Arabidopsis thaliana: one gene and its partner. The gene in region 2 interacts genetically with the main gene of each other region. Each region holds a gene or a part of one and is shown on either strand. Other genes may lie near its edges.

Region 1 (16,164 bases), about 15 Mb from region 2:
TTTATGCTTTGGCTCTTCTCTCAATCATCCCGACCACATTTTCAATCGATTCATTTTTTCGACTGCTCATTGACCAGTGACAGAGGGCAGAGGAGTTGGCCGGCGACCCTTCCTTCTCCTCAGCCTTTGTCTGCATCGACCTTTTTGAAGTGTTCTCCAACAGAACAACCCCATCTCTTCCGATCTAAATCCGATCCGATCTCATCCATCACCACCCTTACCTCCGATCTCTTTTATGTGTGTACCTCGTCGTTGATGATCTCAGTCCCAACGACATCGCTTAGCTTTCATCGGAGGTCCTATCTGTCACCACAGATCCGTCGTACCATCACCGTCCTCTGTTCAACGGAAGCCTTGCTACGGTTTCTCTTAATGGGCCACTCATGTTTGAGCCCATTAACCAATTCTAGGCCTATCCCCAAAAGCAATGACCCATCTCCTTTAATGACTTGGCCCGGCCCCTCCAAAGCGTTTCCGCAAAATCATAGGTTTGATTCAACTTGATGTTTGCCTTCTTTTAGTTTGCATTTGTGTCGATTCATGATACCAATTGCTAATGGACATCGATTGAGTCTTAATCACACATTGCTGCTAGGTTGGTACAAAAATCTCTTGAGAACCTTGTCTTTAGAATCACATAGGTGTCTTATTCATGTTGCTAAATGTTTGAAGATGATCGACATTATGATCCCGTCTCTAAGGAGCGATGATTACCGAAGCTTCTTTAAGTGTTCATCTCCGATTCATTTGCTTATTGACTTCATCCTTGAGATAATTAGCTACACCTTGGGCACTACTCTTGAAAGTAAAAGTTTGATGAAGAATGGCATTATGATCCCGTCTCCAAGGAACGGTGGTTACCAAATCTTCTCTAATCATTTTTACCCGTTAATCCTAAACCTAGAGCCCCAAACCAAACCCGAAAAAACCTTTACCTCCCATGAGTCTCCACCATTGGTCCTTACGTCCTTATTGCGCTTCGTGCCGGCAAGCCATGTGGCAAAGGACACATTTTCAAAGTCAAAAGATCAAGTTTTCTTGATCGTGACTACACCAAAGCTCCCTGACTTGGTCGCGAAAGTGTCTATGATACATCATGAGGTCATATGTGGCTTGTTGTTTGATTGCTTCTGTCTCTGTTCCTCTATGGATTATAAAAGCTATCGACCTTTTCTTGTTGTTAATTCTAGTTCTCTGAAGTTGTTGTAACCTTTTTATACTCGAAAATTTTGTAACCTTTGCTCTTAGGGGATAAAATGAATGAAATGCAAAAGGCTTGTTTGACAAAAAGAAAATTCATAAGTGATATCGCAACAAGATATCGACCAAAATCTTCATTACACGTCATAAGCATGCACCAAGTGATGTCAAGGATAAAAATCTAAACAATGATTCATGAAAGGTTATACGGTTTTTAAAAAAATTAGTATTGTATTTTGATTTTTGAGCTCGATTACATATTAAGATTTTGTTTTCCGTCAATAATAGTGAGAATATATGTGGACAATGCTTTTCTTACTAATTCAATTTGGTCATTACTTTATTTTGTGTTTTGTTTTCTTCTCAACATAGTTTATTTTATATGCGTGTGATTTAGTCATTAATTAGCTAACATAATAATTGATTATGCTAACTACAGTATAACCTCTATAAATTAATATTTAATAAATTAATAATCTGTATAAATTAATAAAAAATTTCGGTCCCGAGTTGGTACCAGTGTAAAAAATAACACAAATCGATAAATTAATAAGATTATACTTATTTTAAAAATTCTATGTAAATATATGGTCCCATTAATAACATAAATTAATAATTGAAAAAAAAATTTTAAAATATATATATGTTATATGTTAGAAAAATTAGTAAATTATGAATTTGCTATTATTTTTATTTTTATTATACTAATTCTTGGCAATGTTCAATTTTAATATTTTTACTACATCGAAAACACTTTTTTGTTATTTGATAGACACAATAAGTTATTCTTATTTACAATTACTTTTAGAAAAATAATGATTATAAATAAAACAAAATTATTTCAAACTCAATATTTTTTTAAAATTATAAAATTAGTCTAAACTCTCTATAAATTAATACTTCTATAAATTAATAGAAATTCATGGTCCCAACATTATTAATTTTAGTGATTTGTTTAATCTTTAATCAAAATTATAAGTAAGAAACAAAATATGTGTCAAATATACTAATTACAGTAAAACTAAAACCTCTCTAAATTAATAATATTGGGAGATTAATATTTAAAGTGAAAATTTTAAATTTTGTTATTGTAAGGCATTTCACAATAAGATTTTTAAAATACACTAGTTTAGACAATATAAATCATGTAATAGTAATATTTTGGATACTATCAATCTTGCATCGGTTTAGAAAAATAATATTCACAATAGATGATAACAAATTGAAATTGATTGTACAAAATTTGTTTTATATGATATGCACTGTATTTTAATGATTTTTGTTGTAAAAATGACATTTATTAATTTGTAATAATGATTAATAATCTCAATCATCGTAAACAAATAGATAGAAAAAAGCTATTGCATGTTGGGATCTTGAATAAGCTTAGGAATCACGGGTTTTGTGGACAATTAGAGATCCATGTGTTGTTGGCTATTGTAAACTAACCATGAAATTCATTCAAATCATCCATTCCAAAGAGTTTTGTTTTTTACTTAGTGACATTCCTATTTGTTTTTGGGTTAATCTAGTAATAATTAGACATTCCTATTTGTTTTTTACTTACTGATTCTTTTTTCCTTCTAATAATATGTTTTAAATTTGGCATTAGTATTTATTATAGTACGACTTGTCTCGTAGAAACTAAGCATTTTCCAATTACATATTCTTTTTTAGATCCTTCGTTAGCATATGCAGAGCTGATCTTCGACACATCTGGACACAGCAGGATAAAACATTTGCTGTGACCTCCATTTTTTTCAGCAAAGCTTATTTACAAAGCATCCTTTATTTTACTCATTTTCCAATAATTGCCCCAAATTTTTTAACCTTCTAACTTAACCTTAAATTTTCTTTTTTTGAGTTTTGACCCACAAAATGTCAGGGCTGGCCCTGAACATATGTATCAAGGTTTCTTCTAACTTGTAGTCGCCTACTGCTACATACAAGGAACATTAGGGCTATTAGGAAATAACAAATCTAAGGTATATCTTTATTGATCAAATCTACTATAGTTTTGGTTTTTATAGATAAAAATAATTTATTAATTTAAGATTTTGTCACGCATCATTTTTATAAAGATATCTTTTCAAAAATATCTATCTAATATTACTAACCCATTATATTACTATTACATATCAGTGAAAACATTTAACCATAGAAAGACAAAATTCATTTGTGGTCTAGATAGAACAACATGTTGATGACGATTAAATATATTAGATGGAATTGACTCAAAAAAAAAATCATTACCTAAAACATCGGCAAAACATTGTTTTCATGCAACTCAGCAAAATTAATTTGAAGTTTTTTTATCCACCATGATATCAATATCGGCCTATCTCAAGATTTACATATAATCTTTAATTAGATTAACGGATTGGTTAGATTATCTAACGTAGATAATGTTTGATTGTATGGATGTTTTGAAGACCATTAATGCCAACTAGCTTAAGTTTTTTGGGAAAATGGATAAGCCATTAGCCTTTTTGTTTGTTTGTTCATAGAGCAGACCATTAGCCATTTATGATATTATAAGATGGAAATATCTCAAGTGGCCTAAAAATGAAGAAAAACATCATACACATACTGTAAAGAACAAAAAAAAAAGGAAATATCAAAGTTGGCCACACAAAAAGAGAGGCCATGGAAATATCACACAGACAAAAAATATCTGTTTGAAAAAAGATGGAGCATGTTCAGTGTAAGTTAGGCCAAAATATCTTTAGATTTTATTCCTCAAGCCAAAAGTCATTGATCCACTACACTTCAACACCGGTGCGTAGAGCATCATCCAACCAATTAATCAAACATTTTCTTTTTCTTATATATCGTTGAGTTATTAGTCAATTGTGGTTATTACGCTCGTCTGTATATCATAGGTTCGAGTTCAAGTAATTTAAAGTTTGGGCGACAAAACAAAAATAGTAAAAAATTTGTTTCAAAGTATCATGTTGTGTAGTTGAATTTTAATTTTGCCCCACATATTATCTTTTTGATTAATAAAATAAATATACTTTCAAATAGTTGTAATTTATCAAATAAGTATTGATCATAGAACAGTGATTACTTTTAAAAACAGTTGCTAATGTTTTAAAAATGTAATTCTTTCTCGAATTTCGTACTTTCTATTACATATTATAAAAAAATAACTTATTATTTAGATACCACAGTAAAGTTGTTATCCGTAAAAATTATTTGACATTATATATCGTTATCATCATTATACAAATTTTTTTTGATAATTCAGATGATTTTAATGGTTTTTTATGTCCAAAGAGTAATCTTCAAGCCCGAAAAAACTATGTTAAAATTCGAACTTCGGTGACCAATATTACTGAAATCCAAATGACGAATAATTATTTTCTGGTTTATTATTGGACGAATGCGACTTAATTATTTTGTCTATTTTATATCATTTCTATTAGCAACATCATAATAAAATTTCTAATATATGCTGTCAATTATGTGACCAGCAACAATATAGTAAAACAATGTTAATTAAACCCATCTAACAACAATAAAAATTTGTCACTGACATAGTTTTCCTATATAGCACTTATTTTTCTTTTGTCAATAAAACACGCCGGCCTAAACCTATTTCTCAGTTTAACGCATGAAGTGCTAGTACAAGGAACTAAACCACCTGGCTTATTATTAACCATTTTCTTCATTTGTTTGATTGATCATTACACTAATTGTCCTTTTTTATTACCTAGTAGTTTACTAAGTTTGATTAAGAGAAGAAAACCATAGGGTCCAGTCAATAAAAAAGAAAGTCATAGCGTAGGACAAGACTCTTGTTACAAGAGAGCGAGTAGGAGAGATATATTACACTCGCGGGCGCGTAAAGAGACAAGGAAAAAAGAAGATATTTAGTCTCTGACAGTGACAGCTACCATTTAAAGGTGAAAGACTGTGTCAGATAATAACCATACACGTGTCATATTCCTATCCACCAAAGAACCACGAGGTTTTTAAACAAGTGTCTCTAATCTAATCCCACCCAACAACAAAATATCTAGCCGCGGAAAATTACTTTAAAATTCATCACCCTTTGTCCCTACTCTTGACTCGTGCATGTTCCATTTGATTTATTCCACCACGCAACCAAAATAGTAGCAATAGAAAAAACCAAAATGTTGATAAAAATTTGGTAAACTATGAATCTCTATGATCGATATTCATTTGTTTGATTGTTCCATTTCTTTTCTAATGCAAATCAATATTAAAGTGTTCTTATTTCGTGACTAAAATATATGGCTGGCCGAAAAAATATAAAATAATATATGACATTTGCTATTAGTTAGCACCAGTGATCATTTGGTGTAAGCAAATGTTTTTTGTGCCAAAAAATAATATTGAAATATATGTATAATTAATTCATTAACAAAAAGTTCTTATTTGTTATTTCAGAAAATAAATTATACCATGTGTCCTTGATTTTCTTATGTGAAAAAAAATTGAAATATCCTTATTGTTTTTAAAATAAACAAATTGCAAACCTATGTACCAAACAGAAAATAATACAATTGTTTTTGGATAAATTTGTATAGATACTTTTTCCCACTAGCATTAGATATTTTTTGGGTTTGGTATTATCCCAAAAGTCACGAGTGGGATTTTTATAGGTACTCAAAAGCTAAAATGTCTGAACAATAATATAAAATACATTTTAAAATAAAAGTAAAATTTAGAAGCATCAAATAAGTAATAGTTTCAATGTTTAGTGTTGATCTCTTATTAAAAGAAAAATAAACAAGAAATTCACTAAATATTTCTCCATCACAAATACATAAACATCAATTGCAATAAATATTTTGGTAAAGTATAATAAAAAATTAAATCCAACTTTAAATATGAACCACATAGAAAAACCAAAGGCTAGCCACCACACCAATTTTTTCTTAAAAGAAGGTTATTTGGCGTATTGGATCTCTTTTGTCTCGTATACAGTATTTTGCTGATGTGGCAAACGTGGCCACGTCAGCCAATTCTACTAGATATTTTTTCAAATCCAAATACTCTTTCCACAACCGTTAGATCATGGTCGGTTCGCCACCCACTTTCAATCATAACCGTTAAAACATTCGCTAGATTTTTTCTAGATATTTTCTTTTCTCCACACTATTATAGAAAGAATAAAGTTCTTTTTTTTGCTCTCTTCTCATTTATCTCTCCACTCACAAATATTTTGATTTGTTTTGTAACTGTTTCTCTTTCTCTGGAGCTTTCTTCTTCTTCTTCAATAATCGATTTAGGTTTTTCAAAGCTAAGTGTTTGTGTTGTGATAATGACTAGTAGCGAGGAAGTAGTTGAAGTGACGGTGGTTAAAGCACCTGAAGCTGGCGGAGGAAAGTTATCACGTCGGAAGATTCGGAAGAAAGACGCCGGTGTTGATGGTTTGGTGAAGTGGGAGAGATTTCTCCCGAAAATCGCGCTTAGAGTTTTGCTCGTTGAAGCTGATGATTCTACTAGACAGATTATCGCTGCTCTTCTCAGGAAATGTAGTTACAGAGGTTAGTTTCTGGTTTCAATGCTTGAGATTTAGGTTTTGTTTGTATAGAATCTGAGAATTATGAATTCGATTGAGATGCTAATGTTTTGAATCTGATTCGCGTGCGGCTAAATGTTACAATTCAAAGTCAAATTTAGAAAAGTCAACGATTTTTTTGTCGGTTTTGTGTTCATATAGAAATCTTTATCAACGCTTAGTTTCTACAACAAGCTAAAAGGATTTGTATTAATGTGGTTTGGTTTTGTGTATTGATCAGTTGCTGCAGTACCTGATGGCTTAAAAGCTTGGGAGATGCTAAAAGGAAAGCCTGAAAGTGTTGATTTGATATTAACAGAGGTTGATCTACCTTCAATATCTGGATATGCTCTGCTAACACTTATCATGGAGCATGATATTTGCAAGAACATTCCTGTTATAAGTACGTTGATATATACATCTTTTTCTTCCATCGTTTTGAAATGATTTTTTGGCTCATTATGTATTGTTTTTTTTTCCAGTGATGTCGACACAGGACTCGGTGAATACTGTGTATAAGTGTATGTTGAAAGGTGCGGCTGATTATCTTGTTAAGCCGTTGAGGAGGAATGAGCTTAGAAATCTTTGGCAGCATGTCTGGAGAAGACAAACTGTATGTTTCATATCCATCTTTTGTTTTAAGCTTTATGTGTGATGAATTATCTCTACAACTTAAACCCGTTCTTATATAAGTTCTGGGAAATTTCGTTGTCTTGAAAAGATGATTGAGTTCTCAGATTTGTTTTTGGTTTTGATTATCTTTTACAGTCACTTGCTCCTGATAGCTTTCCATGGAATGAGAGTGTTGGACAGCAGAAAGCCGAGGGTGCGTCTGCAAACAACTCGAACGGAAAGAGAGACGATCATGTTGTGAGTGGGAATGGTGGTGATGCCCAGAGCTCGTGTACAAGACCAGAGATGGAAGGTGAGAGCGCAGACGTGGAGGTTAGTGCGAGAGACGCAGTACAGATGGAGTGCGCAAAGTCTCAGTTTAATGAGACACGGCTTCTAGCAAATGAGTTGCAGAGTAAGCAAGCAGAAGCCATTGACTTCATGGGAGCATCGTTTAGAAGAACTGGACGACGTAACAGAGAAGAAAGTGTTGCTCAATACGAATCTCGGATAGAGCTTGATCTTTCTCTGAGAAGACCTAATGCTTCTGAGAACCAATCTTCTGGAGACCGGCCTTCTCTTCATCCTTCTAGTGCCTCAGCTTTCACACGGTGAGTTGTCTAATTTCTCAATTCTTCTTTCTATTAATCGTTCAATAGTTGTCGTTCTTTCTGCTGATTGTGTGTGTTATGTTCTTGTTGCAGGTACGTTCACAGGCCGTTGCAGACACAATGTTCAGCCTCCCCAGTGGTTACTGATCAAAGAAAGAATGTTGCAGCAAGTCAAGATGATAACATTGTGCTAATGAACCAATACAATACATCTGAACCGCCTCCAAATGCTCCAAGAAGAAACGACACCAGCTTTTACACTGGAGCTGACTCACCTGGTCCACCGTTTAGTAATCAGCTGAATTCTTGGCCGGGACAGAGTTCATACCCTACGCCAACCCCTATCAACAATATACAGTTCAGAGATCCCAACACAGCTTATACATCTGCAATGGCTCCTGCTTCACTCTCCCCAAGCCCTAGTTCCGTTAGCCCGCATGAGTACAGTTCCATGTTTCACCCATTCAACAGTAAACCCGAGGGGTTACAAGACCGGGATTGTTCCATGGATGTAGATGAGAGGAGATACGTCTCTTCTGCAACCGAACATAGTGCAATAGGCAATCACATTGATCAGCTTATTGAGAAGAAGAACGAAGATGGCTATTCATTATCCGTCGGGAAAATTCAGCAATCTCTTCAACGAGAAGCCGCTTTAACCAAATTCCGAATGAAGCGAAAGGACAGATGTTATGAGAAAAAGGTAAAAACTTAACTTCGATGGTTCCATCACATAGATGAACTCATAACGTAATGATACTAAAGGAACCTTTGAATGACTTAACAGGTTCGTTACGAGAGCCGGAAGAAATTAGCAGAGCAACGACCACGAATCAAAGGCCAATTCGTTCGTCAAGTCCAATCCACACAAGCTCCATAGTGATCCAACAAATTGATATATTATATACAGTTCAATTTTGTATCATCAACTAGAGGAATTTTGTTTTCTCCGATGCAGGAGCTGTTCTTTGTACAACTAATTCCACATACGTTAGATTTGGTGACACATTTGTGTGTACATACACATCTTTCGAGCTTGTTGTTGAGTTTTAGTTAGAATCTACGTTAGATCTGTAACTACATACATTTGGATTACGTTTCTGTAACTTGCAAGACGAATTAGAAAGATTGACAAAATCTCAGCTAAACAAATTTCAGCACAAAACAATGAACTCGAAGAAGATAAGCTATAGTGAGATCAAAACTTCTGGAGAATAGTATCCACTAACACAAAAATAGCCAAACGAAGAAGATGATTATGAACATATATAAATGTGTATATGTATCTCTACATGGCTCTCTGATTATTCATGTATCAAAAGCAAGATTGATAAAATTTGTGAAAAGCTTTGTTTTGAGATTTTTTTTAAGATCGAATCGAATCAGGACTAACCCATTTCCAGTAATGTCGTTTCACAGTTACAGCATTCCCAGCGGCGAGTGTTTCAACCGAATCTTTCGTCGAGTCTCCTCCCTCGTACTCTTTTTCCTCCGTACAGAAATCTTGCTCCGGTAATCCCTCCACCGTTGCATTCACAGAGTGAAGAGCGTAACGCGCCGGTAATCCTGGATACGATAGCGAGTTCCTTTCTTCAACTCTTCTGTTATAAGTTCCGGGAAGAATCTTAATTCTCTGTCCAATGTTATCACCATCGCCATTGAAGATAGATCCGAGCTCTTCTTTTATGGCGCGAAAAACTGCTTCGTCGGGAGATTCTTCAGGCTTCATTTTCTCTGATAAAGGACGAAATCTTTCACGAATACTCCCATCGGATAATTCCTGATGAGCTTCCACTAGGATTCGTCCGTTTTTTCCGATTACTCGAACGGTGACGACGTTGACGGTGCGTACTGGAGGAGTTGAATCGGCGAGAGAAGTTTCGCCGTCGGAGAGTTCTAGCCAGAGGTTATGAACGTTTTTGGTTCCCGGTTTGACTCCCCAAGCGGCGAATGAATCGGAAGGTAATCGCGATTCGAGCCAATCGGAGAGAGATTGAGGATTAGCGAAGCGTTGAGTAGGAGGAGGAGGAGGAGGAGATCGGCGAGACATGGCGGTGATGGATCGACGGCGAGGATTTAGAGGGAAAGAGAATCTGTTCGGAGGAAGAGAGACTAGAGGTTTAGGAGATGACCAGAGGAAAAGGAGAGAGACCGCCGCGAGGAAAATATCAGGTAAAGCGGAGGTGACGGTTGCGTTACGAGGCCGGTGGTTGTTGATGTTACGGCGGTTAACGAGTGGTGTGTGCGGCGGAGATGGGCCAACGAACATGTCAATTGACCAAAATACCCCTAACGATCGAAACCAACTCTCTATCGTGGCTCATACTCGTACCGAAGAAGATTCAGAGAGGCCTATTAATAAATAAATAAGACCAGAGAAATAAATATGAGGAAGAGATTGTGACGACGATTATTCGCATATCTAATCTTTAATAACTAGATTCTCTTTAATTGCACAATGGATCTTATCTTTTTATAATTTAACTTTTTACCCTTTAGTTTTATTTTTTACTAGATTCTCTTTAATTTGCACAATGAATCTCACGTTTGAAATTACAATTAACCGTTACCTAATCCTACTATATTATTTGGAAAGTATATTTTATATATAACCTTAACTTTTATAATTAATTACATAACAATGCCATTAGAAAAATTTAATCAAAAACAAAATCCTTTTATGACGTCATTAAGGTTACCAAAATCATTTAACGACAATATTCATCTCTTAATTATAGGGCTTATTGGATCTAAAGACGGGTCATCAAAGATTTCCTAATCTGAAGCAAAATATACTGAATATTCAAATATCTATCTGTTACCAAATTATAAACAAATAAGTTCGTAAAATAATTTCATATTTTATATACGAAATCAATTAAATCTTAATTACATAAAAATTAGCAAAAAAAAAAGTATTCAACAATTAAAAATTTATCAAATCTCTGTGTTACATAAATTTTGATACTATATTCGAATAAAGTGTAATATACCTTTTCAATTTGTATTCTTTAACTAATTTAAGCTAACTAATATATTTGCTAATCTTATACCTATCAAAACTAACTATCGTTTCTTATCTCTATAGTATTTTTGCAAGACCTTTTTGGTGGATTTGGGTAAAAGTGCATTCGGGTCATATGATACATTTCCCTATTAAATAAATATGGTGCACTCCTATGTTATTAGCTAAAATGTTTAGATTATAATTTAGAGTCATATCATAAATAAAATTAATATTAATAAAATAAATGGCTTTTTGGCAAGACGAATTTGGAGAGACGGGTTTTTGAATCAACATTAATAAAAAATTAAAATATAATTAATTAACCGTTTCAATACGGATTAAATCTTTAATTTATTATTTTTTTAAGACCACTAATACTAAACATATCAAATCATCATAATTTAAAAAAAGATTATATAAAACCAAAAATGATATGTTTGTATGTATAATGTTACTATATATAAAATTAAACTATAAAATATACATGTATTAAATGTATTAAACAATGATACAATTTGCAAAATTTATATATATAATTAATAATTCTAAAATTTTAAAAATTACTACTTTAAAAAAAAATCACGGGATGGGTGAAGAAATTACAAAACGGGTTTTATTTTGGAATTGGGTTATATGGTGGATGTATTTGAATCAATATTTATAAAATTTGAAAATATTGTTAATATGTTGTTTTAATAAGGGTTAAAACTTCAATTTTTTTAACAATTGTCTCATGGATTCGTGGTATAGCGTTACTTAATAACAATTATAAATTGCAAAATATAAATATTTTATAAAAATAAAATTTGCAAGTTTTAATTTATATTACTTTTAAAAAATAAATCGTCCCGCGGTATACGGGGGTTAAAATCTAGTCTCTTTACATTTAGCTACACACACCGAGTTTCGTATTTACAATGTAAATACACGTTATATTCAAACTTCTTCACTCATCATCCTCCTCGTCATCGTCGAGAGCGTTGGATTCTTGCTCGTAAATCGGATACTCTCCATCGCTATCATTATCATCATTGGCACTACCATACAAAGCTGATGCGCTGCTTGGAAACCTATTGAACAAACCTTGCAGATAGGTTCTGGAGTTGTTCTCCATGTCACCATCTTATCATTGTTTAAGAAAAACTTTAAACCAAACCAGATCAAGCTCTAAATTCTCTCCTAATCCCCTAGAATCTGCATGTACTAATGACTAATTGGTGCTTATGTTATGAAAGTTTATGCTTTGAAGGATACATCCATGAGAACTTATTGATATGTCATCATCATTTGCAGCCTGCAACACAACACATTAGATTAACAGAGAAACGATGAACAAGCCTTTCGGGAAAACTAATGGGTGAAGTAAACAAGAAGTAGTTTGTAAGCATGGTTACCTCCTCGTATTCATCATCCAAGTCTTCAGAATCCTCATCCGCATTAACATCATCATCTTTCTCCTTGTTTGTGTTTTTACACTTTTTCATATCTGCGGATAATTTTACACCAACAACTGTTAATCCATACTTCTTTTAAGGAGAATGTGTTTGATGACAAATGATAATAAGCAGAGCATGAGATGTATGACAATATAAAATGCCTGCCTCATTCGATTTTGGCTGGCACATGTGATTGTGCACCCTTATATATTTACTTACAAATTCGTCGTACAATATGTCCAACAAATTAACTCCAGTCAAGTTCACCATGCTTTAACACAATTTTGAGACCATTGAGATTTGAAAAAGAAGCACTTGGCTCCATGCATGTCAACAATCACTAACTAGGCTGCCTAACATGTAAAGATGAAAAGAACTGAAATTGCTTTGTCTATCTTACCTTTAGTTGTTTCCTGGTGATTCCGTTGACTTGGTTGCAGTGCATCTTTCTGAATACGTGTCTTTTCAGACCTCTCAAACTCTTCTTGAATAGATTTAAAAACGTCTTCGAAACCTGGCTCAGGAAACACAGATACAAACCTCACAGCTACACGGAGTCTCAAATTGTCAAGCAGCGCTTCAGAGAACCATCCTGTTTTATACTAGCAACAAAAACAAATCAGTACAGATAACCAAGACCTCACATAAAACAATTTTCCACTCAATATATCATTTGTGTGTGATTGATGACGCAGTGTTTTGGTAGTGGTATTTTTTGCAAGTGCATGTATAGGTTTGATCTGTAATAAGCAAGACTCTAATTTTTTTGGAATCTACTTCATTAACAAAAGCTTTAGCTGATAACTCACATTACAAGTAGTCTGCTTGGGAGGCTTTCTTATCTCTTGTTGAATGTACTCATCGTCAAGTTCAAATAACTGTAGAAATGTTTGGCATTTGAAAGGAAATACTTTAAACGCACAAATGTCATCCCAGCTTGGCTTTGACCTGTCACAAATAAGAAAGAAAGAAAACATCACCTTTATAATTGGACCGTTTCTTCAAACATATATCCAATGTTTTATTTGCAATTTCTCCATGTAAATTCATATATATGTTCCCTGAGAAACTATCTTGAAACTGTTAAAAGAGAACATTTAGGTTGCTATCCTCGGAAAGTGACTGAAAATCGGAAAATGACACGTTTCTAGAGAATTCAGACACACTTCGCATTGTTTTAAAAATTATAATGTTCTCATACAATTGACCACAAATCAATACTTGCAAAGAAAATGTTATCATGATATATGTTTATCTGTCCATATATATTACAAATTGAGAATCTTGAGTAGAAAAATATCTTGAGTTTACAAGGAAAAATGGAAAATCTTACTTGTTAGTTGCATTGGAATCACAATAACCCTTTAATTCAGGTGGAACCCTGAATTCCATTCTCTGGAATCTGAAAAAAACAAAATATAAAAAAGGTTAGAGGTGAAGAGGTTTGACATACAGCTGCAGTCTGGATGCAGGAAAATATGAACTACAGAAGAAAATTTCATGTCAAGCAAGTTTCCAAAACCCGGATAATGTCAGCACCAACACTTTCTGCATTGGAAGATAAATACGCTCTCAAATGAGCCAAGTAGAATATGTATCATTCTCGAAACACTTTGCAGAAGACGAGGAAGTTCAGAGGTGTAAAACCGGCCTATTTCTGTTCTATTTTGAGGTGTACAAATGACAATTCTACATTACCGTGTCATAGACCATGCATTTGTAATATGAATAAACTTAAAGAGATAGAACTCACACACGAGATTCAGGATCTTTCCGTGGATCATAGCCTCTTTTAATCCAGAACCTAAGAAATGGACCACCCGAGAAATAATATGCAGCCCTAAGAAGAAACCTGCAGAGAAAACTCCAGAAAGTTGGTTATTGCAGTAATAATACACATAAGAAATGCATAAAATTTGTTCACCTGTTTAACATATGATGTGTGCATGTAAGACCTTTATCGAGTAGTCGTTGGACTATGGAATCTCTTGTCCACACAGGTCGCTCTTCAAACAATGCAGACACTGCTACCTGCCATTTCCATTGGTTGGAGGTGGGAACGATATAGTCTTCCCATTTTAATATCTTTGGGATCTGTATGAATGCTAAGGACTGATCAAAGATATCCAAAATGACAAAAATCATCAAACAAACATGGCTTCATACTCAGCAATAATAAGATTTGGAAGATTAGTAAAACGGAGAAAAGGATATCTTTGACACTAAAATCAATTGCAAATACTGGGCCAATATCTATCTGCATCATCAGTAGATCAATTAGCAAATGGAGAAGTAACAACCACAAGTAAACTGTCATGGAATCTTTAACTATCAATATAAATAAACAGAACAGCAGTTCCCTCAATGTTTTAAAAGTGTGAACTGCGAGCTTTTACATGCTTCAGAATCATTAACTCTGCAACTACAGGCTTTAGAAAAAACATTTGCAAACTACCGACATTCCTGTAAGAAAACCTAAGCAGAATCCACCTCTTTCAAGTCTCAAACCTTACCGTTACAGACTTGCAGTAATTAAGAATTCCATTTTACTAGTTACAGAAAAAGAAAAAAGCTTGCCATATCAGTAGATTATATGTTTGAGTCAATTTTTTCCAACAGTCTGATTTAAGTTTATCCAGAAACGTCAAATGGTTTCATTTCTTGTTTTTACCTCATAAAGATTCTGAGTTAGTTCCTCATCTTTCTTTTTTGGGCTTGATGTTACTGGAAGTCTCAGCCTGTGAATCAAACAACGAAAGTAGAATTAACAATAGAACTTCTAAAATTATAATCAACTATGTTCTCCTTCATTCTTAGTTATAGGTTGTTTTGTAGGGGAAAAATAAGAAAGTTTAATCTTACACCAGGTTGTCTGGCCTATCTTTGGGTGAAAAGAACTGTGGCAATAACATCATTACATCTTCATCAGCCATGTCCATTAGATCATTTTTTCCTGCATGATACTCGAGAGGATTCATTTTAATTTATGTTATTACAGCTAAAGATTTGCAATATAATGAAAACCAAATGAATGGAGACAAACACCTGCAAGCGACTTCACCTCCATCCATTTTCTCTTCTTCTGCTGTGCAATATCAGCGTGAATAGGAATTACATGCTGGTAGTCGACCATGCCTTCGCAATACCCACATGAATAAGTATCATTTTAAGCCAAGGCTCACTGTATAAGACAAGACCCCAGAAATTGGAGAGAAATATTCTTACCATCAAAGCAATACGATTCAGACACACGAGCTACAATATCAGCACATAGAGCTGGGCGCACTTCTGGTAAGCATGCATCGCTAGTGGAAATAACAGGTTGACTTTCAGGCAGAGAATCTTTCTTAACATCCTCCTTCGAAATTTTTAACAGAAAACCATTACAATGACGTCGTTCTCCATAGGCAGGATGTGCAGAAGGGTCTTCAGGGCGGAAATGCAGCTCAAGCTTGTTTGACGTTGATTCTCTTGCCTACGAAAAAAAAACTTTCAAAGTGATTAAACCGTCCAACCCTTGTGTACAAGTTTGCTACTAATCAAGTTTATGTTTTACTTGTCGAACATTTTAGAAATGTGACCAATTTGCTAAATCATGGAATGCATCAAGCAAAAGAAACCCAAACAACGCTACAAAAGAGCTATATGGATAATCAGCATACAAATCAGGGATTCCTAGTAATAACTAGCAGGCAAAGAAACAAGAGTCTTAGGAAAAGGCTTTACGGTTGTGATTCCTTGGATTCCCCCGAGAGTCTCCACGGC
Region 2 (17,217 bases):
CTCTAGTAAACTTTCACCTAAAAAATCCATTGACTATAGATCGAGTCTACTCGATTTAAAGATGTCCAAAAAACAAAAAAAGATGAACTAAAGTAATCAGTTATTTAAGAAAATCTTTTACATCAGTTGGTTTAGAAAACATAATTTAATCTAACGGAACTTCTCATTTTCATATGATAATCTATATATAGAATATTAACCTTCTTTTATTGTTAACGTTTTGTGGATTTTGAAAATTTGAACTAATACTAGATGTTTAACTTTGTTAATAAAATACTACTAATCATCACAAATTAACGTAGATGATGCAAAACAAAAATATGTGAAAGTTTTTAAGAGATCTGCATTTTGTAAACTTCACAAAAACTAAAAACCCTTGTCACAAAATCTAAACTCAGAATTCTGAAATTATAAACTAATAACTTTGTTGTTTAAGACTTACTCGAAGTTTGTACACGATAGTTCATACACCATATCAACATTATCATAATCTCTTCTCCCCTCTTCTTATAAAAGAAAAAATAATATTTTCAAAAAAAAAAAAAAAAAACTTGTATATAAACAAACTATTAAATTCAATAAAAAGATTTATAAAATTTATGATAGTAAATAAAAATGATTTTACATATCGTAATATTTCGAACATATAGTAGTGAGTCATAAGCGACATCCTAGAAAAGGTATATACAATAAGTCCAGCATTGGTTACAGGTCAAATCAAAGCATTTGCGTATATAATATCTTCCAAAGCACGTGAAGATATTTCCAACGTTTTTTTTAATATTAAAAAATACACAAAACCAAAATTCTAAAGAACTTTAAAAAAAAAAGCTCTCATCAGAGCAGAAGTTTCATCCATCAGAGGGTTTCCTCCTTAGAAACATCTAGAAAAAACAAAAGGAGAGAGAGAGAGAGAAGAACCATCCATCACAGAAACATCTTTTCCTTTTTCACTAAATCCCCATAAAAGATCTCTAAAATAAACCTAGCAAAAAAAAAAATCAAGAGAAAAAAAACGAAGAACACGAAGAACGACAAACAAAAAAAAAATGCAAGCTGCTTCGGTAAACAGCGTTTTTTTTTTATATAAATATTCTTTGTATGCTGTTTTTTTTTGAAGGCTTCTCATTCGGTGAACAACAACCAATTCTAATTTTGCATATATATTTACTCTCTGAGTATTTGTTTATTTTAATTAAAGAAAATTCTCAATGGTTTGTTCTTAAGACTGAGTCATCCTCGAATCTTTTGTCTAATAGTTACAAATATAGGTTCTTACAAAGTGTATTTCATGGGTTTCTCTTTGGTTGTTTAAAGATTATAACTTCAAAATGAAAATCGATAAAATCTGAATTTTTTTTTCGATCTTGTGTTCTTCATCATCGTAAGTGTTACATCTTTGAGAATTTTTTTTTTGTCTGTACTTAAGTGTTATTGTCAGATTGTTGTGATGGTTTATTTTTTTTGGTTCTTGCTTTAACTTTGACATAATTGAACCTTTTGTGTGAAATCGGATCTCGGCAGCTCTCAAAGATCTGGCGTTTCGATGGTAATGTGGGTCCAGAGAACATGGATTCTTCTTCGTTTGAAGGTACGATATTTTCTCGACGTGAACGTCTCTCTCACTGTTCCTAGTTTCATGCGTTTTAGGTCGTTAACACGACGACGTTTTTACACAATATCAACAAACGTTTTATTTCTCGCATTGGATTCGTCGTCATTGTTGATATTTCGTTTCTGGGTTGTTGAGATTCATTCAAAGTTTTATACTTTTGATCATTTTTACCCCAAAAAGAGTCAGAATCTGTGATCCTCTCCTTTTTATCTTGAGGAGAATCTAGGGCTAAAGGATTGGTCTTTTATGGTGCAGATAATGAATGCATTGAGACTTGTAAACCAAACGTTTTGAATGTAAGTGAAAGGAGAGAATTGATCCACGCATTGTCTAACCAGCCTGAAGAAGCTTCGGAGCTTTTGAATTCATGGAGCAGAAATGAGATCATGAAGATCATATGTGCTGAGATGGGTAAAGAAAGGAAGTACACTGGTCTTAACAAACCAAAGCTCATAGAGAATCTTCTGAATCTTGTGTCTCGTCCTCTTGGAGAGACCTCTTGTTCTGACCGTAGAAACTCGAGGAAGAAGGAGAAGAAGATGATCGGTTACATCATTTGCTGTGAGAATTTAGCTTGTAGAGCTGCGCTTGGATGCGATGATACGTTTTGCAGAAGGTGTTCTTGCTGCATCTGTCAAAAGTTTGATGATAATAAGGATCCTAGTTTATGGCTTACTTGTGATGCTTGTGGATCGTCTTGTCATTTGGAATGTGGTTTGAAGCAAGATAGGTATGGGATTGGGAGTGATGATCTTGATGGTAGGTTTTATTGCGCGTATTGCGGTAAAGATAATGACTTGCTCGGGTAAGGATCTTTAGATATTGAAATCTATGGATATACTACAATGAAAAGAGAATGTAATGTAATGTGTGTGTATGCGAGTGCTTACAGATGCTGGAGAAAACAAGTGAAGGTGGCGAAAGAGACGCGGCGTGTGGATGTACTTTGTTATCGTCTTTCTTTAGGACAGAAGCTGTTGAGAGGTACCACGAAGTATCGGAATCTGTTGGAACTTATGGATGAGGCGGTGAAGAAGCTCGAAGGTGATGTGGGTCCGTTGTCGGGTTGGGCCATGAAGATGGCTCGAGGCATCGTCAATAGACTTTCTTCGGGTGTGCATGTCCAGAAGCTGTGTTCTCAGGCAATGGAAGCTCTGGACAAAGTGGTCTCACCATCAGAATCTGTTTCAGGACAAGGTTAGTGTGTTCATACATTACTTTGGTTTTAAAACCGAAGATGTTGACTTTAGTTCCTGTTAGGTGACAAGATGACCGTGAGAGTAGAAGAGATTCAAGCAAGATCAGTCACTGTGAGAGTAGACTCCGAGGAGCCGTCTTCTTCTACACAAAACAAGATCACAGGTTTCAGGTTGTTTTGTCGAAAGTCGAAGGACGAAGAATGCTCGTCTCAGGGGAATTGTGTTGTTTATCTACCTGAGACGACGTCTGCCATCCAAGGACTTGAACCCGACACCGAGTTCTGTCTCAGAGTGGTTTCCTTTAACGAGGAAGGTGACTTAGATGAGTCTGAGCTTCGGTTCACAACGTTGAAGGATGATGGAGATGAAGCTGGGGACCAGCAAAGCCCTTTGACAAACTCAAGCAGTGGTCTTTGTAGTAATCCATCTTTACCAGAAGATGAATCTAATAATGTCAATAAAAGCTGCAGCAAAGGAAATGGTGACAAGGACAACACTGAACACTGTAGTGCAGGAGAAGTAGAATCTGAGCTTGAAGAAGAGAGGCTTGTAAAGAGGAAAGCAAACAAGATAGATGGAAGAGACTTGCTTGTAACACCCTGCAAGAGAGATATTTATAAAGGAAAGCAAGGAGGGAATAAAAGATTCAAATCAAGAACAGTATCCTTGAACGAGAAACCTGAGATCAATAATGCCGCAAATGGAGTAGGAGATAAAGACTTGGGTCATATTGTTAAGACGATTAGATGTTTAGAGGAAGAAGGACATATAGACAAGAGTTTTAGGGAAAGGTTCTTGACATGGTATAGCTTAAGAGCTACTCACCGAGAAGTAAGAGTTGTGAAGATCTTTGTTGAGACGTTTATGGAGGATCTGTCTTCTTTGGGACAACAGCTTGTGGATACATTCTCAGAAAGTATACTGAGTAAGAGATCATCGACAAATGGTGTAGTACCTGCTGGGATCTGCCTCAAGCTTTGGCATTAAAAGCTTTTGAAATCGGTCTATTTATTAACTCGCTTGATATTGTAAACCATAACGATAATTTTGGAATGAAATTATGTAAGTACGCATTTCCAATTTCTTTCTGATGCTTAGTGAAAAACTCAAAAATGAATAAGCCTGATTTCAAATGAACCATAGTCTGACAGTTAGAGCCGGGAGATTACACACAAACATTAACATTTTTAAATCTCGAAAAAGAAATAACTCACGAGTTGTTTCCAACCAAATTCAGAGAGTACAAGTTTGTTCTCTATAAGACATCAGAACAGAGTCTGGGGAAGAATTGGAGTAACTAGTAACTACTATCTGGGAAATGCAGCTCTAGCCCTCATCTTTTTGACTAGTGTTCAAGACAGCGTTAGAGGGACCTGCAAGATATATTCAAAGGTTGGTGAGCAGAAATCGATCAATGCGAAAACAAAAACTGGATGCAGAGACACGAAAGATTCTAGTTAATAATCAGAAAAACCGAAACTGCTTAATCTCATCAGAGTAAATGATCCAAGGGCAAGTAAATTCTAAATTCAGCTGTTGAGAGTTGAGACCTATTGGTAAATACCAGCACATAGGTGGAATGATCGGTTTTACGCAGTAACTCGCACAACTTGATCTTGTAAGATGCAGATTCAAATGTGCCAAGGCAAGAAAACTAAAAAACACAAGACTGGTTCCATTTCCTCTGGATTAACTAAAATAGTTCTTCATGCAGATAACAAAACTAACCGAGTGAACTATCTGTATATAGAGCTTGTGAGGATATCACCTGAAACAAAGATCTCTGGTATAGATCTAACTAAACAACCACCAGTGAACTAGATTGAGAAGCAAAACAAGTGAGTAATATAGAGAAAGCAAAATGCTGAACCTGATGAGTACTTAGAATCCATTATCTGAAAAGATGCTGATGAGTTCATTTTCTAATGCAGCCAACAAGTCTAAGAACTAAGTCCTATCTAATTTAATCATACTACACATAGGAGCTAAACCTATCTTCCAATTGATAGAACAAAAACTTGGGAAGCTTAGTGGAAAGCCTAACCTTGAGAAGACTAGCGATTACGCTCGGCCGGTAGAGGACGGTTAAATCCACCGCGACGGTTCATGTACTGTCTTGGCTGACGCTTAGTTACAGCTCTAATACCACTAACATCAGCACCAGCAACTGGTTTGCCTTTTGTGGAATCAAATCCAGTAGGAATCCCTAACATCTTCATCATCTCAATCTCATTCACATCCATTCCTTCTTCATCTTCGCCTCCGCCATTATCAGCAGCATCACTTGGTTGTTTATCCTTCTTCTTAGTAATAGTAGACGCATTCTCGTCAACGGAATCAGTCACTACTCTTTTGCGATTCCTTTCTTTCTCATCGTCTACTGAACCCTGGCGAGGCCGTTTTCGCGACGGAGCATCTGGAGAAGGAGACCTGCGCCTGTGGTGTCGTTGACGGTCCCGGTCCCGGTCACGGTCAATCGAGCGGGAACGAGAGCGATACCTCTCCGGAGAGCGCACGTGGCGAGCACGAGCGTGGTGGTCTGGAGTACGAGATCGGGATTTTTTGTTTCTAAGCCCTCGGTCACGGTCGCGCTCTCTATCTCTTTCCCGGTCTCGATCACGGTCACGGTCACGGTCGTCTCTACCTCGGCGTCTATCACGGTCTGGTTCACGGTCCTTATCCCTCTCTCGTTCGCGGCGGTCGCGCTCTGACATGGTGGTGATGCGACTGAGGAAGGTGCTAGTGTCAGGGTTTAACCAATTTCAACACTGTAAATTTTCTTCCCCAATTTTTTCTATTAAAATGAAAATTTGGGGTTTTATCCTCTATTTTTCCAATTTTCTTATATTCATCATACTCAATGGAAAAATAATAATAATCTCATTTTGTCTCCGAACTAAAAGTATGAAATTGGAAATGAAAATAGTGGTCCAATAGCATAAGAAGAGAAAGGATCTTATTAAAGTTTGTAATCATAAATAAAATTTACAGAATATGAACACAAATGCACTTCTCAAACTTCAAAGAGAACAACAGAAACAAGCACTACAGAGAGAAAGAGAGAGATGACATTTTCACTATATATATTATATAAGCACTAAAAGTCCTCCTAATGAGGAAGAAAGAAGAAGAAGGACTTAAAAAATATGAGCAGTACCAAAGTCCCACCACTGAGTCGCTCTCCCCTAAAGCTCCAGTATCCTAACCGAGAACCCTTTTTCATCTTCTTCTATGGCTGGGTTCTCTTTCATACATAGGCTCTCTTTGGTTACGTGAGATAGCTCGCTAGTGATAATTCGTGTAGCTCACTTAGCATCCATTCTTCTCCGGTCTGACCACCTAGCACTATCGCTCGTGTTCCTCCCACAACACAAGTGCCATGTCCCCAAGCAAACCGAGGCGGTCTTCCTGGAATGTTTAGTATTCTCCAAGTCGGTTTGTCCTCCGTTGGGTCAAGTAGATAAAGCTGAGACGCTGAGTGAAGCCCTGCCACTGAGCCGCCAAATATCAAGATTCTGCCTCCAGGGAGGTTAACTGCAACGTGATCTAGCCTTGGTGGTGGTGCTACTCCTCCTGGGTTTCCTGCTCCAGGCATTCCGCTACCGGTCACACACCTCCAACAAGGCTCCTCTTCGCTTAGATCCATTGTGAAGACATCACTCGAACGGAATTTCAAAGGCCCGCTCTTAGCAAGACCACCAAACATCAAGATCTTTCTTCCTCCATAAACCGATAGTGTGTGGCCTAACCGGGAAGGCGGAGTCCAGGCAGCTGGAATCTCTCTCCACACTGGTTTCTCTATTGAAAGGTCGAGGAGGAACGTGTCACTTAGAAGAACGCCGGAATCTGCACAGCCTCCAGAGACTATCAGTTTGGTTCCGTCAAGGGTGCATGAGCTGTGCCATGATCTTGGTAGAGGCGGAGCCAAACCCGAAATTTCCCTCCAAGTAGGCGGCTTAGCATCGAGATTCAAGACAAACACATCGTTCAGCAAACCTTGCTGACCACAGCCACCAAATACAACCAGATTGGAGCCATTTACACAAGTGAGCGTGTGGCCCCAGCGTCCTGGAGGAGGGGAGCTCACTTTGACATGTTGCCATTCAGGGTAATCAGAATTCAGATCTAAAACAAAGGTATCATTCATAGGCTGCATATTCACACCTTCTCCTCCAAACAGAACAACTCTGTTCCCGACAGCACAAGCACTAAAATTACAGCGAGAAGGCTCAACAGAACCTCCAACCGAAAGTTTTCTCCAAGCTGCAGCTTCAAGGGTGGTCAGTTCTCTAGCCAAGCGGCCCCAACCGAGTCTTTTAGCACCAGGAACAGTCTCTAATACCCGTGTTGTTTCACTTCCCCATGCATTCTGACAAACCCTTCGCCAAAGATCCTCATTCTTTGTCAGCACATATAGCCTGCGGCACACAGAGCTAACAGATGCAACGTCTCTTGGTGTCAGGCGTGACAATATCTTCATAGACACAACCTCGTCACTCAGCTGGAATAACCCACACATTCCTCGGGAAACATTCCGCTCCCCAGCAGCTAAAGCTGAGTATATCCCATCAATTGACTTTTCTTTTGTTGAAGATCCAAGAACAGGTCCAAGGTCAATGTCTGTCTCGATAAAGAACTGGATTCCAATTATATGGGTAATAGTATCATCGTCTCCATAAATAGGAGTCAACCGCAATCTATTCATCAACGGAGATCCATCTTTCCTAAAGTTCAACAACTCGCCTTGAAATTCAATGCCCTCATCAATACATTTTCTTATCTCGGAAACAACCATAGAGTCAACTAATGGATGCCTTCTTTTAGCAAACGGTCCTCTACATTGCAAGAAGCGGCTGCAGAATCCGAGAAATTAATTAAGAAACAATATAAGACCAAAAACAAAATTTATCTCCAACTTACTGATGCGGAAAAGCAATAGACAAAATATTTGGCCGTGCATGTAGAGACTGAAAAAAAAAACAAATACACCAAACAAGCATAATTATAACCTAACCAGATTTTCATTCTGTTCAAGAATAACAACTATTTGAACTGATCAGCTCCTCCTGTAAGATCAAAGCTTATTAATAAAGGAAGCTACTAGCACTTCTCTCATGGAAAACTAACACACAACTAAACGCATTGGACTTAGCCTTTTCACTGGTTCACTGCACATCAACATTGTAAAGAATTTATTGTGTTCGCTACGACCCCGAGAAACTACACAGGGATAGCTCGCTTTATCTCGGCATCTATATACACTTTCAAGTTTCCTTAACATGCGGAGCAGCTGAAACAGCTCAAAAACAGCCATGAGAGCTCGATTAATATGAAAACTACAATCACTGAATAAACATCTGAAGGCAGAGAATACTTAGGCACACACAGAGACTCCACTGAGTCTTCTCTGCCATTTGGCAGAGACTCTAATGATTATCTAACAATAGACATATCTTTGTTTTCTCTCCACCAAAGTATCCATCCATACTAAATCTAGTGATCAATAGAGTGTCCTTCAGATTACCATCATCACAAACATTCCTCACCTATCCTCAAACTAAACGGACCTTAATCAAACTCCACCAAGTAGCCAAAATTTGGTAAAGTGAGCCAATAACCAAAAATAGAAATTCCTCGCATCAATTAGAACACTAATCACAAAGATAACAAAAAAACAACTAACCAATTTCCTCCGAGAACTTCCTCAGCACGATACCCTGTAACCATTTCGAAGACGGTGTTGACATATATAATAGGTTGGTCCGGCTCAACGGCATCAGTAACAACGAATCCACAAGGCGCCGTGTGAAGCAAATTCCCAACGGGATATGGAATTGGTCCACCTCCGGGAAAAAGACCTCCCTCTTCATCATCCGCCAGTGACGAAGCATCATCGGCGCTTAGATCGGAACCACTGTCCCACTCCATGAAAATTCAAATAGTTACCAGACTGATTTCAGTCGCCGGAGATTATGAAGACGGCGATTGAAAAACAATCCGGCGTGAGATAATCGGAAAATTTTGGGAAAAGGAGATTTTCGGGGGTTGAGAGAGAGAGAGAGAGAAGATGGTGGACAAAGAAACGAGTGGTAACCGTCGAGTTTGGTGGAAAAATCTCGGCCGTATGAGTTCATTCGAACGGGTCGGATTTTATCCGGGTCCGGATTTCTCTGTCGGGTCAAGTAGATAAAACCATAAAACTCCCCTTGATTTTTGGGAAAAATGTCATTAAAATCTCCAACTTATTGAAAAAGTTGATTTAAATTATCAACTTCCAACTAAACGAAATAAATATCAAATTTTTGTTGACTTTCCAAATAAATACCAAACTTTCGTATATATGGTCATATTAGGTATAATATTAAGTAGATTAACATATTGCGTTCACGGAGTTAATTTTCTGTTAACAGATCCGTTAATTTAAAACGTTATTGTTTCCTATAACAAGAAAGCGACCTCGTTTTATTATAACGACCGAATTAAATTCCCAAATCCAATCTTAAATCTCCAAATCAAGCAAAATTCTAACCCTAAATCTTCATATGATTTGAAATTGGGATTTAATTGAGCATTTATGACATAACGACGTTGTTTTATTGTTATAGGGAATATTGTCGTTTTCAATTAACGAGTCTGTTAACAAAAAATGGACTCTAATAACAGGGTCTGTTAATGTCATACTTAATATGGCTACTCGAACAAAAGTTTGATATTTATTTGGAAAGTCAACCAAAATTTGGTATTTATTTGGAAAATCAACAAAAGTTTGATATTTATTTCGTTTCGTTGGAAGTTGAGGATTTAAATCAACTTTTTCAATAAGTTGGGGATTTTAATGACATTTTTCCCTTTGGTTTTTAGACTCTCTTTAGCTGAGCTGAAGCTTATTACTTTCCAAATTTGTGGGCTCATGTCTTACAATAAAGCCCATTACAATAAAGCCCATTATAGTCCAGTAAATGAGATTATGTGACTGAATAGTATGAGTTTCGTAATAAGAAGACGCCATAAAATGGAAAAATAGCAAGATCTATAATTATAGTTACGTAAATGAAAATTTGTTAAGGTTGTTGGTTGCTAAATCTTTTCTTGAACCGTCTCAATTATCAATTGCCTATCATTTAATCTCTTCTGTAATGTTCCTTTTATACGCAGAGGACCAAACTAGTTACATCAAATCAATAGATAGTTAGTTGAAACAAATAACTTCTCGTAACTACTGGTTAATCGAATCGGTTCGGTATATCATAGAATCATAGGTGCAAACAGACTTTTAAACCAACATCAAACAGCTGAATTGGAATTAAGATTTAACCCAACTTTAGTGTTTTATATCAACAATAATAAGAATAAGTTGTAAGTACTTATATATAAGTAGTTAAGTACTGTTTTATATCACCAATAATAAGACTGTTTTATAAGCCTAAGTTACCGATATGGGGCAACTATCTTATGAACTTTATTTGAAGGTTATTATCTCATGAAATGAATTGACATACTCAATTTAACAAAACAGGCTTACCTCGTGTTATTAATTATAAGTTTCGTATAAAAATAATAAAATTGATAGTAAAAGTTAAAACAAAATGGAGAAATTGTTTGTAATGATGCTAAATACAATTTTTTTGTATTATATTTCCCTTACAAAGTAGCAAATTGGTCAAAATTCTTCGTCACCTCTTTCTTTTTTCCGACATTCTTCACCTCGTTCTGTAAAACTACTAAGTAAGTAACTAATACAATGCCATACGACTAAACAATATCTTCGCAAATAAAAAGAAAAAGAAAATATTTCTTTTAAATTATGGTATTTAGTTTTTAACAAAAATATAAAATATAGCGATTTACATTTGTATTACTGATATAAATAGATCATATAATTTTGACATTAAAGACTTTAGAAAAATTATAATTGTAAATATTTTTTTTGTGTATGACAATTTAACACATAAAAAGGACGTGAGAGAACAAGTGGGTTTGGTCGGTTGTTTTCTTTACACTTTGCAAAATTCTCTATTCATTCATATCTTCGACGAGATGCTAAAATGCCCCCACTATAAAATTCCTTTTTCTTTATACAAATTTTGAAAGAAAAAAAATTCCATAATATCATGATTAATTGTTTCAGATATTCAATGTATAGTAATTTTCTAAGAAACTTAAATAACTACGTATATGCTGGGAAGATATAAAGAAAAACCTACATAGAGAATACGAACATGAATATCACAATAAGCGTTGGTCCAACGACCTTCCAACAAGCACCTCTTGTATGATTCGACTTCTACATTTATTCATCACCTCTCTTTTTTCTCTTGTTTATTAGATTCTTATTATCATGTGTTTTGTTTCCCCCTTTATTATTATTATCTCTTAGAACCTTGTTCGTTCATGAAAATCTATTATCAACAAAACTGAATTGAAAATAAAAAGAATGATTCAAGATGAAAGTAAATTCACTAAAAGAAATTTACCAAAAAAAAAAAGTATACTTGTTAAAAAAAGAGATTGAAAAAGACATCTTCACTATATATGTTGGGTTCGAATAAATTCGCTGGCCTTTTCTCTTAAGCCACATGGTATGAGAATTGTTTTGTAAAATTTGTTGTCATCTTGTTATTGCCAATGCATCATGATCGTAGAGATGTAGGCTAAAGAAACTTTTTTAAAGTGTGATTTTACACAGCAGCTGGTGGTTACTGCTTAGCCATAAAATTATGTGTTGATATTGACATAAGTGGAATGTCGAAAACATGTTTATTCATACACGTATATTGTTGAAAGAAGTGTTAAACACATCATACGTTTAAAGTAGACAAATCTAGAAATATATAACAAAAGAGAATTTGTTTGTACATTTAAAAAGCCTTAGCTCTTTTTGAGCAAAATATGTAATATTATAATTTCAACACTTTTGAGTGTGTTTACTAAAACTAACAACCTTTATGAAGCAATTGGGATGGGTTTGTGTGATCTAAAATTGAGGTAGGATCGTGGGACCAGGAGAACATGAGATGCATCGAAGGCAAAGTCCAAAGACACTACGTCACTTTGAGTGGATTGTGTACGTGAGGTTGTACGAACCATCATTTCACGTTACATATGTTGCAACGCTGCGTAATCTGTCCCCACCATCCAACTTATTTCTAATTCTTTTTCATAATTATATTTGTATCTAAACTAAGTAGAATACCTACATATTGAAAAGAAATATTACTTGCTAGGGCCTAGGGATAAACGTTAAAGAGAAATATTACTATAGAGAAAAACCCTTTAGTTTTGAACACAATTTCTATGTGTAAACATGCGTGATTGTTATGTAGGCAGATGTGCACTAAGCACTTAAACAGAAAAAGAGACAAGTTTTGAACATGAGTTATGAGTAAAACATATAATTATAAAGTTTTGAACATGAGTTATGAGTAAAAACATATCATTATAAAGTTTTGAGAGCATCTATGAGTAAAAACAGACTAAATTAAATAGAACATATATATGGACAATATAGCAAGTAAAATCTCTCGGACTGACGAAATAGATGTAACTATACTACCAATGCTTGCGATTCAAACCGTCAAAAGTGAAAAATACTGTGAAATAACAAGTCAACTTCTATAAATGAAAATTAATATATATTGTAGACGGTTTATATATACGTTTGGATCATATCGATTCACTAATAAAAAAGTAACAAGTGTTATTCCACAAGTTGCATTTTTCATTTGTCTATAAGAACTTTATTGATCTTAAATAACGTTTATGCTTTTTCTTACACATATATGGAACCGAATTCAACAAAAACTTTCAAATAGATTTGTTTTATATGAACACAATTATGTATATTGATTGTCCATTTATGAAGAAAAGAATAATCTTATGCTTCACACCGTTGACAAAAAAAGATAAACGTATGTCATTAACCCTCTCTTTTTCTGGTACATGTCAGAGCAAAGAAAATTTACTAAAAGGTTATTTTGTTTTTCCTTGTTTGTCTATAAATCTACTGAAAGCTTTAAATGCAATTTTATTATTTTCAAGAATCGGTCTTTTTACACTTCCGCGATACTAGCTAAAGGAATGTACACGTGTCAGGATATTATTGTAGCATCTGATTTTTACCATTGATGGTAACTAAAGTTAGTAACAGAACCATCAGGTCCATCACCGTAAAATATGACTAGCACAGTAGCACCTTTACCAGAAAATAACGCCGTTAGCTGTTTTCATCAAGTCAACAACAACCATTTTAACGGCAGTTTAGATATATTTTAATTTTTTTTAACCATATATCATTGGAAGTAAAAAGTTGTCATACTAAAATATATATCTTTTAAGATCTCAAGGTAATTAAAAAAATAATCAAAGACGCTTAAAATCTGAAATTTTCAATAAAGTAATCATAAATTATTTTATGATTTAAATTTAGGTTTATCATAATAATCTTGAAAGAAATTAAATAATATAATAGTTTTAAGGAAATCTATTTATTTGTTTTTTGATAAATTACATATCTATAGTAAATTAATGATATTGAATGGTGTAGTTGGTTTCTCATAGGTAGAATTAAGACTTTCTCTTTTGTATTAATAAAATTTTATTTGACAACAAACAGAAGAAACCTTTTAATAAATTGAGAGAGATATACTATAGGACATGATATGACAAAACTGTCCTACTCAGTGAACTTCACTAACAGAGCTCAAATTTGAAATCTCAATGAATTAATATTTAATGACATAACAAGTCAAAGTGATGATATTAAATCTTTCCTCCTTGACAAGACGATAATACTTCAATTAACAAAAAAAAAAAAAAAAAGAGATGATAATTTTTCCAGAATAAAATATTTTCGACTTGGACTGGGAATAAAAAAAATGGGGTGACCTAAACCGACGTCGCATAGTTACGAGAGGCATATAAATAGAGAGCCACCAAATAGCCTAACGTAGTCCACCTTCACTTGCTCTCTTTTTTCCGAAGAATCTGGTTCGTTTCTCTTTGAATTATCTCTTTCTCTGTTCTTCTTCTTTTTCTAAAGTCTCGAATATATCTTCATTATCATTACTTTATTTGCTTCGTTCTTCCGCAGTTTTGTGCAAAGTTTTAACGATTTTTTGGTTTTGAACGAAGGCACAGAGAGAAGATGGCGAGTGGCCTCGAGGATATCGTGAACGAGAATGTTGATTTGGTATGGATTTCTTCTTTTTACTCTGTATATATTTTTTTGTTTCGTTTGTTTAACTTGTTTAATGAATATACGAGAGGAAAGTTTAGTTTGGTTTTGTTTTTTACTTAACGATTCGATCAAATTAGGGTTGTACACAAATCTCGTTACATCATCGTTGAACTATTGACTTCATGTTTTAGCATGAGATTTTTATTGTTTGATTTCGATGAGAAAAGAATCCATGAAAAAGTGTTAATATTATCATAATTATTTCAGTTTTTCTGCTTTTTTTTCAAAATTACTTTTTCTTTATTTATTTTTTTATTAGATTTTGCAACTGCACTAATTTAAAACAATTTGCAGTCACCAGAAATTTAGTTACAATTATGTAAAAGTTGTTTCCAAATAAAGCAAAAGTAATTACATTAGTAGTACTCTCTACTTTCACATGATCTATCTTAATGAGTATACTTTGAGATTTCTTAGAGAAGTTTTAGTCAATTCTGTTTTCAATTACTACGTTTTTGGATTTTTCATACTCATGGAATATCGCCTTATCAATCGGTTAATCACTTCCCTAGATAAAACTAAACTTCAATCTTCACCTGATTTTCTGGACTCAATTTAAGATACCATGTTATATAGACAGATTTGCCCCTATCAATACATCTTCCGTTACAATGGGCCTTATTGGGCCTTTAGGCTTATTATATAAGCGAATTAAAGTACAAGGCCTTGTGGTCCCACCTTAGATTCTCTGACATCGACAGCTACAGAACATTCCATAATTTTGGTCATCTAATATTTTTATGCTTTGATAAATAATTATAATCTTGATTATCTATTAATTTGCATGCTTATATTTTTTTCTTTTTTTTTGCTTTTTTTAGTACTGTAAAAGGTTAACATTTGTATCTGTAAAAAAGATGTACTACAGATAAAAACATACTTGGTTGTTTATTGGTGTAGGAGATACATAATTATTGAACACCATTTGAATTAGTCTAACATCGTGTTCATATTATATTGCAGGAGAAAATACCTATTGAGGAAGTGTTCCAGCAGTTGAAATGCAGCAGAGAAGGTTTATCTGGAGCAGAAGGAGAAAACAGACTCCAGATCTTTGGCCCCAACAAACTCGAGGAGAAGAAGGTATAGTTTGGTTTTAACCATTATCAAAGTCATCATACATGAGCTAAGTCACTAACTATGTAATGGTGGTTTCAATAAATAGGAAAGCAAGTTACTCAAGTTCTTGGGTTTTATGTGGAACCCTCTCTCTTGGGTCATGGAAGCAGCTGCAATCATGGCTATTGCCTTGGCTAATGGCGGTGGAAAGCCACCGGATTGGCAAGATTTTGTCGGTATCGTTTGTCTTTTGGTTATCAATTCAACTATCAGTTTTGTCGAAGAAAACAATGCTGGAAATGCTGCTGCTGCTCTTATGGCTGGTCTTGCTCCCAAAACTAAGGTCCCTCTTTATAAACTCCCTTCAAATACTCCTCTTTGCATTAGCATTTACGTGTATGTTTACTGTATACTTGGCATACGAATTACGCGAGTTTAACTATGTTACATAATTAGATTCTTAGCACCTAGTAGTTGTCTAACTTGAAAATGTTTGGCATAAGTAATTGGTTTACATATAATTTCATTACAAGCTTTTAATAATATTTGTTTTGTTATGACCAGGTTCTAAGAGATGGCAAATGGTCAGAGCAAGAAGCTTCTATTCTTGTTCCTGGAGATATTGTGAGCATCAAGCTTGGTGACATCATTCCTGCTGATGCACGTCTTCTTGAAGGTGATCCTTTAAAAGTCGACCAATCTGCTTTGACCGGAGAATCTCTTCCCGCAACGAAAGGTCCAGGGGAAGAAGTTTTCTCCGGTTCTACCTGCAAGCAAGGTGAGATTGAAGCGGTTGTGATAGCCACTGGAGTCCATACTTTCTTCGGTAAAGCGGCTCATCTAGTCGACAGCACAAACCAAGTTGGACATTTCCAGAAAGTTCTTACGGCGATTGGAAACTTCTGCATATGTTCCATAGCTGTTGGTATTGCGATTGAGATCGTTGTCATGTATCCGATCCAGCGCAGACACTACAGAGACGGAATCGACAATCTTCTTGTTCTTTTGATTGGTGGTATCCCCATTGCAATGCCTACTGTCTTGTCTGTCACAATGGCTATTGGATCTCACAAGTTGTCTCAACAAGGAGCTATCACAAAACGAATGACCGCCATTGAAGAAATGGCTGGTATGGATGTTCTGTGCAGCGATAAAACCGGGACTCTCACGCTAAACAAGCTTAGTGTTGACAAGAATCTTATTGAGGTTTATTGTAAAGGCGTTGAGAAAGATGAAGTTTTGCTTTTTGCTGCTAGAGCTTCAAGAGTTGAGAACCAAGATGCTATTGATGCTGCTATGGTTGGAATGCTCGCTGATCCAAAAGAGGTAATATATATAACTCTGTTTTTTCCTCTGTTTTAAAATTCTGTTTTTTCCTCTGTTTTGTTTCTTGAAGAAAATGTTCTGTTCTGTTTCTCATTGTTTGTTTCTTTCAGGCAAGAGCTGGAATCAGAGAGATTCACTTCCTACCATTCAATCCAGTTGATAAGCGAACCGCTTTGACGTTTATCGACAGCAACGGAAACTGGCACCGAGTAAGCAAAGGAGCTCCCGAGCAGGTAACTAAAACTGATTTTGGTTCTTAAGCTAAGTTAAGTGTTGTGACTTCTTAAAAAAACTGATTCTTTGATGATTTCAGATTCTTGATCTCTGTAACGCGAGAGCTGATCTGAGGAAGAGAGTCCACTCTACAATCGATAAGTACGCTGAGCGTGGACTTAGGTCATTAGCTGTTTCAAGACAGGTGAGAAGAAATCTTACATTTTGTAACAAGTTATAGGAAGAAGGAAAAAGAGAGAGAGAGTTTAATGTAAATTTTGTGTGTCTATGTTTCAGACTGTACCAGAGAAAACAAAAGAAAGCTCTGGTAGTCCATGGGAATTTGTTGGTGTGTTGCCTCTGTTTGATCCTCCAAGACATGATAGTGCCGAAACCATTAGAAGAGCTCTAGACCTCGGTGTCAATGTCAAGATGATTACTGGTTTATATCTAAACATTACTCTTCGCTATAGCGAAAACACCGAATTTCTTACTAATGTTTCCAATGGTTTTATAGGTGATCAACTTGCTATTGCGAAAGAGACAGGACGTAGACTTGGAATGGGATC

The links.
Region 1: of ZTL (region 2) and PRR5, changing one suppresses a phenotype caused by changing the other (phenotypic suppression), as found in Arabidopsis thaliana (one study listed by BioGRID).

Annotation. Positions count from the first base shown.
Region 1 is NC_003076.8:8,348,876-8,365,039, reverse strand, and holds PRR5 (two-component response regulator-like protein), read left to right. Parts: upstream 1-6,493; coding exon 6,494-6,719; intron 6,720-6,974; coding exon 6,975-7,136; intron 7,137-7,215; coding exon 7,216-7,346; intron 7,347-7,501; coding exon 7,502-7,956; intron 7,957-8,049; coding exon 8,050-8,659; intron 8,660-8,743; coding exon 8,744-8,836; downstream 8,837-16,164. Other genes in the region: AT5G24480 (Beta-galactosidase related protein), read left to right, coding at 4-488, 642-1,209; AT5G24460 (RING-H2 zinc finger protein), read right to left, coding at 9,323-10,225; AT5G24450 (Transcription factor IIIC, subunit 5), read right to left, coding at 11,910-12,085, 12,218-12,257, 12,358-12,449, 12,800-13,001, 13,209-13,347, 13,733-13,801, 14,153-14,251, 14,324-14,495 and 6 more. UniProt on the Arabidopsis thaliana protein: Transcriptional repressor of CCA1 and LHY, thereby controlling photoperiodic flowering response. Involved in the positive and negative feedback loops of the circadian clock. With RVE8, forms a negative feedback loop of the circadian clock.
Region 2 is NC_003076.8:23,233,122-23,250,338, reverse strand, and holds ZTL (Galactose oxidase/kelch repeat superfamily protein), read right to left. Parts: upstream 8,913-17,217; 5' UTR 8,743-8,912; coding exon 8,498-8,742; intron 7,668-8,497; coding exon 6,124-7,667; coding exon of another isoform or gene 6,083-6,123; exon of another isoform or gene 6,016-6,082; coding exon 5,924-6,015; 3' UTR 5,749-5,923; downstream 1-5,748. Other genes in the region: VIN3 (Fibronectin type III domain-containing protein), read left to right, coding at 1,050-1,064, 1,525-1,591, 1,871-2,420, 2,508-2,812, 2,876-3,801; AT5G57370 (U4/U6.U5 small nuclear ribonucleoprotein), read right to left, coding at 4,869-5,528; HA3 (H[+]-ATPase 3), read left to right, coding at 13,958-14,002, 15,014-15,133, 15,216-15,452, 15,674-16,435, 16,546-16,668, 16,749-16,853, 16,946-17,090, 17,166-17,217. UniProt on the Arabidopsis thaliana protein: Component of an E3 ubiquitin ligase complex that plays a central role in blue light-dependent circadian cycles.